Linked DNA regions of Lepisosteus oculatus. The protein of the gene in region 2 interacts with the protein of the main gene of each other region in a pairwise test. Links are inferred from orthologs where the notes say so. Each region holds a gene or a part of one and is shown on either strand. Other genes may lie near its edges.

The links.
Region 1: the proteins of 3-oxoacyl-[acyl-carrier-protein] reductase FabG (region 2) and snapc3 interact in binary tests that used the Homo sapiens proteins (3 or more experiments, as listed by UniProt). The two-hybrid records come from large-scale screens. The link is inferred for Lepisosteus oculatus from reciprocal best matches to the Homo sapiens genes HSD17B14 and SNAPC3.
Region 3: the proteins of 3-oxoacyl-[acyl-carrier-protein] reductase FabG (region 2) and cdkn2d interact in binary tests that used the Homo sapiens proteins (3 or more experiments, as listed by UniProt). The two-hybrid records come from large-scale screens. The link is inferred for Lepisosteus oculatus from reciprocal best matches to the Homo sapiens genes HSD17B14 and CDKN2D.

Annotation. Positions count from the first base shown.
Region 1 is NC_090696.1:57,956,524-57,961,862, reverse strand, and holds the start of snapc3 (snRNA-activating protein complex subunit 3), read right to left. Parts: upstream 3,669-5,339; 5' UTR 3,645-3,668; coding exon 3,394-3,644; intron 2,972-3,393; coding exon 2,888-2,971; intron 1,818-2,887; coding exon 1,736-1,817; intron 1-1,735.
Region 2 is NC_090719.1:4,646,999-4,652,337, reverse strand, and holds the start of 3-oxoacyl-[acyl-carrier-protein] reductase FabG, read right to left. Parts: upstream 3,520-5,339; 5' UTR 3,381-3,519; coding exon 3,357-3,380; intron 2,944-3,356; coding exon 2,773-2,943; intron 1,296-2,772; coding exon 1,117-1,295; intron 1-1,116. Other genes in the region: ppil3 (peptidyl-prolyl cis-trans isomerase-like 3), read right to left, coding at 4,578-4,704. UniProt on the Homo sapiens protein: Catalyzes the NAD(+)-dependent oxidation of L-fucose, yielding L-fucono-1,5-lactone, which rapidly converts spontaneously to L-fucone-1,4-lactone. Can also act on D-arabinose and L-galactose, with lower catalytic efficiency. Does not use NADPH.
Region 3 is NC_090706.1:16,473,814-16,479,152, forward strand, and holds the start of cdkn2d (cyclin-dependent kinase 4 inhibitor D), read right to left. Parts: upstream 3,380-5,339; 5' UTR 2,426-3,379; coding exon 2,288-2,425; intron 1-2,287. UniProt on the Homo sapiens protein: Interacts strongly with CDK4 and CDK6 and inhibits them.

The DNA.
Region 1 (5,339 bases), on a different chromosome or scaffold from region 2:
TCACAAGATACTGTGAAGGGGGCTCTACGTTTCAATCACTCTATCAAACTATAGTTCAAGCACTTTTGTAAGTATTTAAATGAAACTTAAAATTAAAAATTAAATGAAATGCAATAAAAAAGATAATGAAAGGTCTAAAATATTTTTTCCACTTTACAAGAACATCTAAGGATCTACTCTATGATGACGAACAGAGACTAAAAAAGGGGATTTGAGGACCTGTAATCAATGTATATTTTTACAAAACAGACTAACCTCCGTCAAGCACAGAACTTTAGCAGAGCATGTTTTCTTGTCATAAACATTATGTTGCTAACATTAAAAAGATCTACTGCTAATTAGCAGTTTGTAGAGTCTGGTCAGGGACCTCCATCTACTTCAGCCCCAGCTGTGACACTTGAGCAGCAATATGAGATGACAGCACAGTAAAACTCAGGCCAAGGGTCCTCAAACAATATTCTGACATTCACCTAATTCTGGCATGTCTGTCTTCTTTAGGTTTACAGACAATGGGTGAGAATGTACAGTCATGTATGAGGTCACTGCCTAACTAAATTTTGCCTTATTACTATATATGTATCCATACAAACTGATCTATGATAGGGACCCATCACATCAATAAACAACTACCAAAAATATTATAATCTACACATTATATTTTCCTTAATGTTTGATTACTTGTTTATCTCTCGTAAATGGTGGGTAGCATATATGAGGTTGTTGCTTGTAAAACCTGAAATGAGTGCTGTTTAAATTCTTGTTGTATTTGAACAGAATCTTTTTTCAATATATATATATATCTCTTTTAGAATGAAAAGAACATTGAGATGCTTTTTAAGAGAGGATTAAACCAAAAAATGCTTTTTTTATAAATAATAAATTGTTTTCACCAAACATAAATCAATGTTGTCCTTCCCTGGGTAATTCCCAGGGTATTTTCTTTCTCTCATAAAGACTTAATTATTCATGCAAACAAAGAAACCAATGTCATATGTAAAAATAAAAAACAACAACCGTAGACAGTGCAGTACAGCTCATATCCATTCACACCTGACCAACAGAGCCTTGTTCTGGCAGATAAAGGACAAGACTACAAAAAAAATCAATTTCTACAATTCTTTTCCACATTGTCATTTCTGCCATGTTTTCTGATTGTGTGTGGTAAACCTTTCTATTAATTGATCATGTAGTACACTAAACTATCCTTTCTCAAGCAAAGTACAACACTGACCATCTTGATCTTCTTTGCATTAGCAATGTAAAAATACAAATGCACTTAGGTGTACTAATATGCTTAAGGAAATATAAAATATTTGCCGATAAATACAATACATAAATTACAACAGTCAGACAGATCGGCAGAAACACAAAACAGACGAATCAATTGATAAATTAGTTGCCTTTAGAAACCCCGCTCTGTAAAATTAGGTGGAAAGGCAAATAGATGCTTTCTAAAAAAAAACACTCACACTCTTCAGCCATAAGATGCAAAATGTACAGAAAAAAAAACTGAGATTTAGGTCATTAAGCACTGCAGTAATTAACTAAGCTACCTCATGGATACCACCTGGTGACTGGAAAAAATAAGAGAGACAAATGACTCCTTAATATACACACTGAAGAAATTCCCCAACCTAGCCACCAATCACAGAAGCGCTACACAACACTGGAATAGGAACCAGCGTTTCGTAGGACTGAGATAATACAAATGTTCCATCTCCTCCTCCAGACTCACCATTTCACTTGCATAGATGTTACTTCTGCATGTCTTATCTATTGTCAGAGTTTCCCGGTAATCCTGCTTCCTTTTTTGAACTCTGCTCAGACAAGAAGATAAGAATAGAATAAAAAAGGGAAAAATAAGTTACACATATTTTAACCAGAAATCTTAGAATGTGATGTCCATGTGCACAGTGTGAATGCCTAGAACAATTTCCCCATTAGACTTTGCTTTGAGCTCAAAATAACTGATGGGTGAAGTAAATGGGCTCTGGGACTAGTGCTCTGGAAACTCAGGGACTGACAAGGCAAAACACCCTGTGGGTATTAACACCAGACAAAGTGTTAAGCAAAAAGTTTTTTTTTTCCCCATTAGCTTCATCTTAAAATTTTGTTAAGGTGAAAACTGAATAGGATAAAGCCAAGTTTAAAGGGATGTTGTGTGGTACAAAATAAACACAGCTCAGGTATGAGTTGAAAAAAGAATATGAATGCAGAACATGCAATCTGTTTGGAGGAATGGCTAAATTTAATATTAATTTTATTATTAGTAGTAGTAGTATTATTAGTATTATTATTAATATTATTATTATTATTATTATTATTATTATTATTAATTCCTTACACATATATAGACCTTTCTGGACACTTCACTCCAAGTGCTTTACAGGTAATAGGGTCTCCCTTCCACCACCACCAATGTGCAGCATCCACCTGGATAATGTGATGGCAACTATAGTGTGCCAGTACATTCACCACACATCAGCTATCAGAGGGGAGAACACAGTGATGAAGCCAATTCAAGTTATTAGGAGGCCATGACCAGTAAAGGCTAGGGGAAAATTTTTACAGGAATCCGGGGTAACATCCCTACTCTTTTTGTGATACACCCTGTGGGATTATAGTCCCTGTCACTATACTGCGGCATTAGGACCCACACATACCCCAGGGTGAGCACCCACTGCCAGCCCCACTGACACCTCTTCCAGCAGAAACCTTAGTTTTTCCCAGGAGGTCTCCCATCCAGGTACTGACCAGGCTCACACAGAAAGGCTACAGAAAGGACCTCAACATTGTCAAACGCAAAAGAGGGATCACAAAAATCAAATGACGAATTAGTAATAAATTAGTAATAAAATATTTAAATATTTTTGACAGATATCCTCACCTCAATGTCTGCAGACTGGGATTTGGGCCAACAACTTCTGTGTCAGGTGATTCGTTTTCAGGATGACACCTCAAAGTATCCAAGCTGTCAAACCAGTAATAAACACAGGACGCCAATGTTAATTCATCCAGCAATTCAATTTACAATTTCCATTTTAAACTTTGATTTTTATTTATCCTCTGACTCTTCACTTAATAACGTTTGTTTTGCCATCATAATTTCCACCGTAAGTACTGAGAATCGTATATTTCCGTTTTCTTGCTCTAAAATTTGCTAAGTATATTTTTTTAGATACTTTCACACGTTTGTACAGGGATGTGAGCATTTATTCTGCATTGCACTATACAAGTAAACTGCAATATAAGAATCATACAGCTACAGTAATATGACTGTTGATTTAATGTTCAAGTAAGAGTTGGGAGACAAGATAACCGTGAATGTCACAGGATACAGTGCAACTTGTTCATCTGAATTATTTTTTTTAAACAGGTGCGGTGAAATCATACCTACACACGAATTTGACTTCCTCCAAGACGTCTGCACTAATTCCGACCTCCTCTGCAAACGCAGCATCTTCTGCTTCTTCCGAATTAGCTGCGTTTTCTTGAAGGGAGAAATAATCGGGGTTCAATTTCTCTCGCCACAGCTTCCCAAATGAACCTACATGAAAGACTTTTGTGTTGACACCTTTATATTCGTAAGTTGGAACACTGATTTTTGCAACATCCAAGTCTCCAACATCAGTGGACGTCGCCATGCTGTTTTAACTGTTAACGGAAGTTACGTTTTAAAACGAAATGTCTTCTGGAGATTGTAGTTTCGACGGGGCTTTCGTTTGCGGTGCTTATTTTATTAATGATTTTGTTTATCCTAATTGGCACTAAATCATGGTAAGGACATGCAACGTTGACACTAATGTGTCCTACGATGTTTTAAAATTAAATTCGATTGCAAACAAAAATATCCAATAAATCAAACATATAGTCATTTGTTTAAAAATTATTTTGTTTACATTAATAAAAATAAAATGAAGCTGTTTCTATAGTCTTCATACAAAGTCATTAGTCAGTGGCATGTTTTGCTGTTCTTCTGTATTTACTTGAATCACAGAACTAAAAACAAAGACAATGGTGTGGTTTATGAGTGTCCTTATCACTGCTTTAAAAAAAGTACCTTGTGTACCTTTTTTTAAGAAAAGTGTACCTTGAAGTGAGACACAGCATTTCTCATAATCTACATAAATTAGAGTTCCATTAGTCATTGTGTGTTACTATAGCATTATTTAAAACGACCTGGGTTCCATAAAGAAAAGAAAATGATAGACGGTGCCTAATCCAAATTTATTTTTCAAAATTCAAGGAAAAACAAATACAAATTGATAAGGGTACTTTCCCCTTTAAAGATAATAACCTACCTTCATGACTTCTGATCAGATACTCTATTGACAATGGTACAATTGAACAACATACTGTAGCGCTCTTGGGTTCACGTGGGTATGCACCCTCACCGCTGCCACCTCAGGTCATCCCCCCACCACTGGGGACTCAAACCCAGGCCTCTGGGATCACTCAACAGGGACCCAACCAGTTGAGCTAAAGGGAAATCTCCCGTCAGCCCTACAGCTGCGATCCCTGTTATTCTCAGGGAAGGGCGGTGATGTCACCATGCTGGTAAGCTGGCTCTAACAACTTGCAATGGCAGCCATATGCATTACAATAGCAAACAATTCAAATAATTAGTTACTACTGTTATTATATTATTGATTTTTGTGAAGCAGTTTTACCCAACACACAAAGATGTTTGTGTGTCCTTCATTTGCCTGTACTAATGGAGACCCAAAGTGAAAAGAAACACTGAAGAACGAAACACAGCTTCCGCAGCCATTTGTACTCTTGGATTTCCTCATCCCAAATAAAGAATTTCAGGAAAGCTATCTGAGGTACAGTATGGGTTGAAATGTGTGTTCCACCAGGTGGAGTGCTCTATTTCCCATGGATAATACCACAGTACTTCCCACTCTGGAAGAAGAATGAGGTATCAACACCTGAAGTAGACATGATGCACATGAAGAGGTGCAAAATTCTATAGAACTGCAGATTACAGCCCTTTAAATGATGTGCAGGACCCAAAGGTCTGATATCAGTGTGTATTTGTAGTCTTAGACGGTCTTTCTGGAGGGTATGCTGGGTCAAAGGCTCCAAGTAGCAAGCAGAAACACCTTCAAAACCCACTCAAAAAGTGAGCAAAGGCACCCGGAGGGCAGGGCACTCATCAGCCATGTTTGGCTGGGGGCGGTGGTAAGTCATGAAGGACAGGAGAGGCAGGTATGAAAAAAAACCACTGACAGTCCATTGTTCTGACTAGAACATCATACTGTTGCACCCTCACCCAGTGAGGGCCAGCTGGCAGGCTTTCTGTGTTGCCTCCTTAACCAGGTTGCAATGTACTTATT
Region 2 (5,339 bases):
GTGGTTAATTGATCTTGAAAGAAGCCTTTTGCTTCAACAACAGCTGGTAGCAGTTTCATGCAGACTTTTGTATAAAGATTTGCCTGCATACAACATTTTTGTTTTTTTTTAAACTTCAAACAGTTTCTTAACAGTTTGCTTTTTGTATTGCCTTCCCACTTTGTCCCCTCAACATATATCTAAAGACTTTTTCTATAAGACTCGGTTTGTCTATATTAAATGTGATCTGCCAGGTGTTTGCCTAATTTTGACTTCTAACTAAATCTTTTTAAATTCTCCATAACATAACACATAGTAGAGGCTGCAAGTTGGATCAATAAGGAAATGGACACAGACTGAATGGCCTGCAGTCTTTTGTAAACTCACGTAAAGGGGAACCACAAAGTTATTTTTAGTTTTCGGGGTTAGAAAGAATCGGCACTAATGAGTGCATTTCAAACTACAAAAAATTTAAACTGTCCACAGTAATTTGTCAAACATCCAATTTTCATCACAAAATAGAGAAACTTTCCAGATATGTGCAACACCATATACTGTGATTCAGATCAAGACAACAACATTTTTCGGAGACGTGATGCGGCCCTATAATATTGTAAACAGGCAGGCTTGTGAATACACCTCTTTTAATCCAACAGAAATAATGCTCTAGACTTTGAGACAATTTTGCTGACAAATACTGTTTACTTGTTAACTCTGCATGTATACCAAATTGGAACATTTCTGCGGTGAAATATCTGCTGCACAACCTGTACATATGCACTTGTACATCAGATTACATTAGTCATTACAGTGACTAGTGAACAGGAAGGGCCACATATTGCCATTTGTGAGAACTCGCGCATGTAGCGAAACCTGTGGTTTGCGATAACATGGTGACTTACAGTACTTTCACAAAGCTCACAATTTTGTGCTTACTGTAAGTCAAAATGTATAACATTTTTCTTTAACGTCAATGAATTTATTGTGTTGTCGAAATTTAATAACCAGTCTGAGAGACTGGGACTGCAGTTCACCTTTAATAATCAAGGTGCTGAAAGGATAAGCTTCATAAAAATGCACTACATTTTGCCAAATATCAGATCACACTAATTAACTAAAGCTGGTTTCATTCTTTACCTGACATTGATGTTCATGACCCGGTCGTACTGAGCCATGTCTGTAGTCTCGATGCTGCCCATGGCCAGGATCCCAGCGCTGTTAACCAGCACGTCCAGTCTCCCATAGTGAGCAATGGTCTTCTCGATAGTCTTCCTCACTGTGTCTTCATCCGTCAAGTCGCCAGGCACTAACAGTGGCTAAAGAGGACCACACAGATTCAGGGACTGTGAGTGGTTCAGTCTCCCTGTAAAGTCTCACACAGATTCCAACACTTTCATAAAGAGACAATCGAAATTTACAGGCGAACCTTCCAAATATGCCCACATGTTCTGAAATGGTCCCAAATATTCTCAGATATTGTTATACTGTATATTATAGGTGCAGGTTATTTTAACCCTCATTCCCACAAGGGAATCTGAGCTCTTGTTAGACTATGTTCGAGTAGGTAGCTGCATCAGCATGCGTAAGCTGCAAAGGAACAAGTAAAAGTTTATTCGATGCTGAAAAGGAAACGCAATGTTTCGGCTGTGGAGCCTCTACGTCTGAAGAAGCCTTCATCGCCGAAACGTTGCATCTCTTCCTTGCTATTCCTTTCAGCATGGAATAAACCTTTACCTGTTCTCTTGTTAGGCTATACTAACAGAGGTGAATAATGAACATTGTTTTTTCTTTCCTTAGTCTTAGGATTAACAATGAAAAATAATTCTATAAACAATGCTTGAAACTTGGTGCTGCGTTACATCAACGTGTAGTACTCAGATGATTTTATATTATGAGACAGTGTACAGATACCTGTGGATTTGTCCATAAGTATTAGCTTTATTGGGCAGGATTTTAAAGGCCTCCATTGCACAGATCAGGTTGTATGGTGTATTGATTATTGCAAGAAGAGTCAAACCTTTTTTTAAACATTTAAATTAAATTTAAGCCAGCATCTATATCACCCTGCAACTCACAACTAGCAGCCTGCTGAAGCTAAGCAGACGTGAGCCTGGTCAGTACTTGCATAGGAGACTCCTGGGAATGCTGCTGGAAGGAGTCATTATTGGGACCAGTAGGGGGCGCTCACCTTGTATAGTGACAGGGATACTACACTGTAAAAACGTGCCATCCTTCAGATGAGACGTAAAACCAAGGTGCTGTCTCTTTGTGGCCATTAAAAATTCCAGGGAGTTTCTTGACAAGAGTAGGGGTGTTACACCGGCATCCTGGCCAAATTTACCCTTGGTTTTCACCCATCATGATTATTATTATATTAATAATAATAAAGTTAGGGAAAGGGACTCTTTGGGAATAGTATTCTTCTTGAGCTACAGACAACAGATAAAGTAAGAGAGAGGTAAATATTGTCTTTTCCAGGGTGTAGAGTTTTCTTCTGGAAAAAGCCCTGGGCCGTTACTTTTATTAGGAAATTATTTTGTGAGGGAGGCCTAATTCTTTGCCCGTCTTACTCGAGCCAGGTTAAATTTAATCAGCAGTCCTGAAACATGAGATTTAGCCCCTTCCTTCCAAAATAATCTCTCTAAGAAACGTCTGGGTATTTTAGGTAGTGTTTTTACAGGAACACTTCTGCAGCAATTGAGCAAGATCAGCCCTCATTTGCTTGATGGTGTTTACTGTTGAGGATCGGACGGGCCACAACAGAAATATATAATATACAAATCAGCTCTTTACCTCTGTTCCTCCTGCATTTGTGCACTGCTGGGCTATTTTGGTCAGGTTTTCCACATCACGCCCATTAAGCGCCAGCAAAGCTCCCAGTTCGGCAAACAGAATGCCGGTTGCTGCCCCAATTCCTGAGCTGGCTCCAGTAATTAGAGCCACTTTTCCTTTGAGCGAGGAAACCTGAAAATGTATTAGCAGACAGATCAAACAGGAACCAGTATTTGACCTCTCGGGTGCGACGTTTGTCCGATAAAGGAAGAGTTTGGTTCAAGGGAAAGAAAGGTACCGAATATCAAAATCTGGCTTTCTAGATATGACGTTTTGCTTGCAACTAAAAAAAAAACTAATCTGATTGAGACTGTCGATAGTGACTTACGGTGGGTTAGATGTAAAGATTGTCTGGAGTAGGCTAAGGTTGACCAAATTTGTAAAACTTTGACAGGCTAGCATAATGGCAGCGAATTTCACACTTTCGTAAAGGTACGGTGCATTACCCTTGTACACTCTTGTAACGTTAAAACGTGCTTATTACCAGCAGCTGAAAGAGCGCGATGCTGGCAGGGTATTGGGTCGTATTGCCGGTATTTGCCTACCTTAAAAGGGTCTTCGGTTGCCATGTTTCATGAATCGATTAAAAAATAAAAAGTGATTTAATGCTAAGAGCTCAATAAGCAATATACTTCAACAGTCTCAACCACTGATTCCGAAACTGCCTGCTCGGCATTTGTATGACCTCATCACAAAGCGACATTGCCATGGAAAAGACAACTTTAGTGATGTGTCAGCTTGGTATAGCAAGGTGCATATTTCAGTCCGGCAACAAAGTATGCGTGTACATTTTTGAAAGACAAATATAACGTTGTAATTCACTTGTGATTTCAAAACAAATCACAAGTAAACAAACTATATGTTCTGTTTAGATTGAAGTGCTGAATTCTTCACGATGTGTAATTTCACAAGTATTTGTATACGAATCTGGGGATTCTGGTATCTCAATGGGAAAACATCGATTAGTAGAATTTATTTCTTTGCTCGACTATAAAAAGGCACTTGACGGGAAATTTAAACGAAAAAAAATGGAGAGCTTATGTGGAAATGAAAACCACTCGATAAGTATCTGCAGTTCAGTGAACAGTAGTAAGAGATTAAAGCGCATTTAAATGCGGATAAACGTCAATTTCCAGTAGACAAAAGTGATGGATTACCCCCACGTTTCTGACCGCACGGCTCCGATTTGTCTATTTATCAGAAAGGATATCATTTAGGATAACACATTTTTTTTCCTTTTAGTTAATTCACAATGTGATGTACTGTGTAGTTGGTGAATTATTTTCTTTAAATTGATTGGTTATAAGTTGATTACCTTTTTTTCTAGATGTTCTCTAGATGAGAACATCTCTAGATGAGATACCACATTCATGTCCAACAACCAAAATGGCAATAACTCTTATTACTTTGCCAAACAGGTGAAAGGGATGCATTAACATCTGTGATGGAATGGATAGTCACGTATGTGTATAATCTAATCAGCATTGTGCATAAAAAACACAACTGTTCTTGTTTTAATAACTGCATTACAACACTGTGATACTTAAAAAAAAAGGTTTATTTTAAATGTAATATAAATTAAACCAAAACATCACATATGAAAAAATAAAGAAGTGGAACAAGGGCCTGTTGTGAAGATTTCTTTCCAAGTAATACAATAACGTAACTGCAAACATTACAGACCCTGCAGATATTTGTCTGCATCCAGAAGTTTTAATAATGTTGTTTTGTAACGGTGGCTGAGGCACACTGCTGGCAGCTGGAGACTAGCCCGCAAAAGGGTTAGCGTGCATAGTAACATCCTTAATCCGAACGTCATTCAACGGCCGAAACGTTTTCTCATTAACTGGCAGCTTTTCCAATTCATCCAGCGTCTCCAAGCCATCTATTACCCTGAAGAAAAAAAGAATGAAATACAATTAGGGACCTAGTGTTTTCTTAAGGTTACCAGTTTAACTTCCAAGGTCACACAGCTCAGACATTAAAGATGTCCACAGAAGACAAATATGGCAACAGGATCATCACATAACTTATACTCCCCTTTCCCAATACTATACTCTCCTATTAAATGAATATGAATGTCAGTGGTTTATCTGCAGAAGGTTACATTTTGGAACTATTCTTTTACATTAATTAACATAATGATATAATGGAAACAAGACATACAAGAGGACATTTTTAGTGGTATCTACAAACATAATCTAGATATATATGAGCAGTATGCATGGTTCCTTTATGTTTTAATCACACTACTTTTCTTAATTCAATAAACTAATTTTGGAGTGTTCTAACAGTGTGCAATTACTTCACATAGTCTTATTGTGTGACTGGTTATTTCCTAGATTCATCATACCGAGGTGGTGTCAGAGGCTGATCCTCTTTAAACACACAGGACAATTCTTCTGACGAACATTTTGCATCGACTGCTTGTAGTTTTGAGAATTCAGCACTAACACCCCCCGAACAATGAGTGGAGCTAATCCCTGTAACCGAGGTCATGTAAGAGAAGAACAAAATTTACATTCCAA
Region 3 (5,339 bases), on a different chromosome or scaffold from region 2:
TTTGGATTAAATTGTTTTAGTATGGGAACTGCAGTTATGATCAATCTAGAACAGACTGAGGTTTTATAGGATGCAATAAATCATCTTATGTTCAGTTATATAACTTATAGTATTGTTATAAAAATGGAATACTACAGAAAATGGATAACCCACAAATTGCAAAAGGTCTGCCAAGAATTTACCCACGCAGTTGGCATAATCTGAGGCCCTTAAGATCTTTGTTCTCTGGCACAGCTTTGGCGAAGGAGTAATAAATCAGAGGCAAACCTGAATAAACAGTATTTATTACAATAAGAAAACACTACACAACACACATCACAACATTCAAATTACTCTATCTTTCAAGCAAGGTGTCTCAGAAGCCCATGTCCTGACCAATCAGAAAAACACAGACTGTTACCAAGTCCTAAACAGACTGTTAAACCCCCACACAGGCCAAAAGGAGAGAGAAACCTTTCTTCTAAGCCAAACAAAATATCACCTAGCAGCTATTCTCTCTCTTTATATGTAAAACTGAGTGCTACAAAGCAAATGGAAACCAACCTCCCTATTCTAAAACATGCATTCATAACCAGGAGAGGTCATTTTTAACCAGGGGATTCTTAATGCAGGAAATCGGATTTTCGCAAAAACAACAGAACAGCAGGTTTCCTTAAGAGAATTCAAATACTGAACGAGAAGCTGGGCTTTGAGTTTGATGTGAACAAACACCTCTCGCCTCCGGTGTCTCCCCCTCCTCTCCCGTTTCTTGCTTTCTGTCCTCTCCTCTCTTTCCATCCTGCTTTCCTGGCCTCTTAATGATTTACCCAGAAATTAATTACCTAAAGTAAACCTTGCGATTTATTTGATCAACATGTCTCACAGACAACCTACAGCTCTGCAAACAACCATTTTTTTTACACTTTTCTCCCACTTGGTTCCACGCTCAGGGAACTGCAGGTGTCGACACTAGCTACAGAAGGAGTTGGTCAACATTTAATCTAACTATAACAGTACATTATACTACACCTGTATAAGAGTTAACTGTACCCTTGCTCTAAAATCATCACATACCGAACTTCAGTGGAAACGTATATCAAATGGCTTATTATAATAATATTAAATCTTCATCTATACAACTTAATCCAAAGCATGACTAAAACTTTTAATTGGGTGATTAAATCTTCTAATGACCTGTGTAATCTGGGTTGGGATTAAAGGAGAGCCCTGTGGATATTGGCTCACAATACCAGTAACAATCTGTTCTTCAAATGCCATCAGTTAGTCTACAGATCATCTTATTTATAATATACTAGGAGGGTTTTCATCCTCAACTAGCTAGCTCTACCTTCCGAATTTTACTTTTATTATCACATGATTGACAGAACAAGTTTACTTAGTGAGCCTTAGAAGGAAGAGAAAAACTGACAAGCTTGTTTTTCTTTTTCTTAGACTAGATGTGCGTTAGCAAAAACATCAACCCCTTAAGGTGAAATACTGGTTCACACGATAGCAGAATTCATACACTGCAGATCGCATCGGTTTTATCACCTCATCACTTCAAACAGTAATTCCAGTACTCTTTTGTTTTCTAAAACACAATTAAGTGCAATAACCAACGCTAGGTTCCAAGTGCGCTACGCTTTCTACACAGTGCAACAAGCATCCACGCAATAAAAACACACTGAGCAGGAGTGTGAAGGTAGCCAGCAACATTACTGGAGGACGACAGCTACAGCTGTCAGAAATCTACTGTACCCAAACACACAGTGCAGAAATAATCACTGACTGTCATGACTGCCCCTTGCACAGTGAGTCTAAACTCCTTCCATCTGGGCATCAATTTAGACTCCCCAGATTCCACTGCAATAGAACTAAATTAGCTTTTATTTCCTCAGCTGTTAACATGCTTAATTTGGACAACTGTATATTTTACTTTATTGTTATTTTTTCTGTCTCATTTATGTGTGCCTGTCTTATTTGTTAATGGGATTATGTTGCGTTCAATGCATTGTGTAGTGTCTTATGTTTTTCGCCTGCGTGCAAAGCATATATCCCATCGGGGACAATCACAGGAAGTCAAACAGCTGCACACAACAGATCAAGGTGCTTCCATCCACCGCCACGCGCACTGTCACAGCAGATCCCTTGGAATGGCCGTTTTCTTTGATCTGTTTCTGGGGTTCCCCCCCTTTCCTAAGGGGCACATTTTCTTTGAGGACCCCTGACTGACCCCCCATCCCCCATCCCTTGCACAAGATTTCTCATGAGATGTAACTGAACCATCACGGTCAAACACCCTCCTCACCTGCAGGGCGGTTCTCCCAAATTCGTTGGGGGTGTCGGGGTGTACCCCTTTCTGCAACATCCTCCGAACCCCGAGAAGGTCTCCCCTCGCCGCCGCGGCCGAGAGCATCTTCCCAGCGTCTGGGTCACCCAGGACCATAGTGGATGATGCCGTTTCCTTTACCTAAAAAACTTGGTCCTTTCCGGGAGACCGCTTAAATATGGGCGTTTCTAGAATTGAATTACTACGTTTTAAATGTCCCCTCGGCTGTTAACCCCCTTTTAACCTGGCTCACGCAAGTTATTCTGTATCTCGTCTTCTCACTAAGCGCACTTTGATTTGAAATATATGGCTGTTCTTCCGGCTCGGATCAGCCTACACAGTTTTAATCAAATCACGGTCTATAAATATATACCGTGCCGCCCTACATACATTAGCATCACGCATACGTGACCTGTACACTTGCGCCACGGCTACTCCAGAACCTGAGGAATATGAACCACCCTGACAGATCGTATCCTCCCCTTCGCCGAGTTTCAGTTTTCCTTCTTTTCATCAGCAGCAGAGGTTTTACAATCAGTCTCAAGAACAGCAACAACAACAACAACAAAGAGCTGCATTTTGTTCCAGTACCGCGTCCGCTTTCGCCCAGTTGCTCCTTTTGTGCGGCGGGACCCGAGTGGTTAAATTTAGACAAACCGGCTTTGGATTTTCAGAACGTGTTCCGCCAATCATCGCCGACTGTCGGGAAAATGTGGTTCCAAATAAGGCAAAAAAGGCGGAGACGGGGTTTGACGGTCATCGTATCACCTCGTAACGATTGAACAATGAACCAATAGGAAACGAATATGAGAAGGCGGGCTATTCAATTAAACGGAGTAGTTAAGCAAATTCATTCATACGGCAGAAGAACTAAACCGCTAAGAACTTGAATTACAAGCTCCTACGAAGCAAAGAAAAAAAGGCGGTTCATAACGCCCTGTGCATTTGCTGACATTTCACACCCTAAATTATATCTCAGACTACATGAGCCTTTAAATACTTAAATTATAATCGTTATATTCTCGACTGTCTGCCTATGCATAAAACATGATCTGTTTATTATTAACGTTTACATTCGGGAATAGCGTTAGTTCTACAAGTAGTGCAGTAGGGGATTTCTTAATGTTTTAGTCTGAAAGAATGCCACATACATGTACGTTATTTTTTCCATTGGTTATTACGGTATTTTAATTTTAGTTAAAATTACACAAAAAAAACTAAGCTTTACACAAACAAAGTCTGGAAAGAAATGATCTGGTAATCATGCAGGCTTCTGTGTAATTTTAACAACGCTCAAGACTCACACAGTATTATTTACAATCACTCGATTAGAATCAAAGCAAAATTACAACCAACACCATCAAAGCAACAGTATGTGACTTCCTACAAAATGGCATCTAACAAGGCAGTTTATAGGTAACTGCACCTTTAATGTGTCTTGTGTAATTAATCTTAAAAAATCCTCTATAGGTTTAATTTTGAAAACAATCAGGTTAATTAATTAGCTCCTAGGGTTGAAACAAAAAAAAACTGACGACACAGAGCCCCTCGAGGGACTGAGTTTGTGACTCCTGATCTAGAGTTTAGCAGATTCCAACCCCTTGCCTTCCTAAATTAATCAATGGAATCAAACTAAAGCCTAATTGGACGCTTAAGCCAAAACAGGGAGCATTTCCTTTCTTCCTCACATTTCTTGAAAGTAAAAATATACTGTATATGTTACAATAGCACTACAGGCAGGCTGAAGTGGATACTGTTCAGTTCTTACAACCCATTTGCAAAGCTTATAGTGTATTTAAAAACAGATACCTCTATGAAACTGAGAGCTTGGGTACAACAAAAACCAGGATATACTAAGCCCTCAAGGAGTGGAGTCTCACACCCTTGCTCTTGGATACTCTAATACAGGTCTCCTCACTCCAGATCCTTATGACCACAGTTTGCCAGATTTTGGTTCTAGCTCAATTATTTGTGCCCCAGCATTTGACGTATTTAAAGAATTGCAAAACTTTCTTGAGTAATTTGCAAGCTGCAACCTTTAAGGAGCGGCAAAGATTAAATTGAATTGTGGTCTAATTAAATTACAAGTTCAGTTTAGCCTGTTAAGAGTCCAGCTGGAATGAAAACCACCAGACAAGGACAAGGACCAGCAGTGGAAATCCCTGCCTTAATGATTTGGGAATCGTTAACATGGTTCAATTAAGACAATAATTAGTGGAAATGGGCAGTTATGAGCACAGCAGCCTTCCAGAACCCTGACCTAAAATGATCACAAAAATATCTATCTGGACAGCAGGGCTGCTCAGCTTGCAATCATGCCTCTCCAGTCCAGTGTTTAACTGGGCTCCATCCAGTTCCCACATCACTTATCTGATAACCAGGAGGGTCACAGGACTCGTAAGGGCTTGGCTGTACCGAAGCACTGCATGCAGACAAGCTGACCAGGAGGGCAGCCGTGCTGAGGCAGCCCTGGGTGGATGGCTAAGGGGAGACAGTAGGGGAGGAAGGCCGGGTCTACACAATCAAATCATTCAAAATCTATGCATTTAAAAAAAAAAGTTGAGAAATTTGCTCTTTATAAATACAAAGGCACCGTTTTGGTCGCTTGTTCAATGAAACCGCAGGTCCTTGACTCTTTTGCCCAGGGAATATTTCTAGGAGTTGGTCCTCAGCTGGTAATCTGAAATAAATGGGAGATTTCAAATAACATGGTTTGCTTTTCAAACTCCATTTTCATCCTCTCTGCTCTTCATTTCTTAAAATGCAACTCTGCAACTCACAACTGGCAACCCACAGAAGCTCAGCAGGTGTGAGCCTGGTCAGTACCTGGATGGGAGATCTCCTGGGAAAAACTAAGGCTGCTAATGCATGCGTCCTAATGCCCCAGTATAGTGACGGGGACACTATACTGTAAATAGGTGCCGTCTTTCGGATGAGACATAAAACCGAGGTCCTGACTCTCTGTGGTCATTTAAAAAATGCAAGGGCGTTTCTCGAAAAGAGTAGGGGTGTAACCCTGGCATCCTGGCCA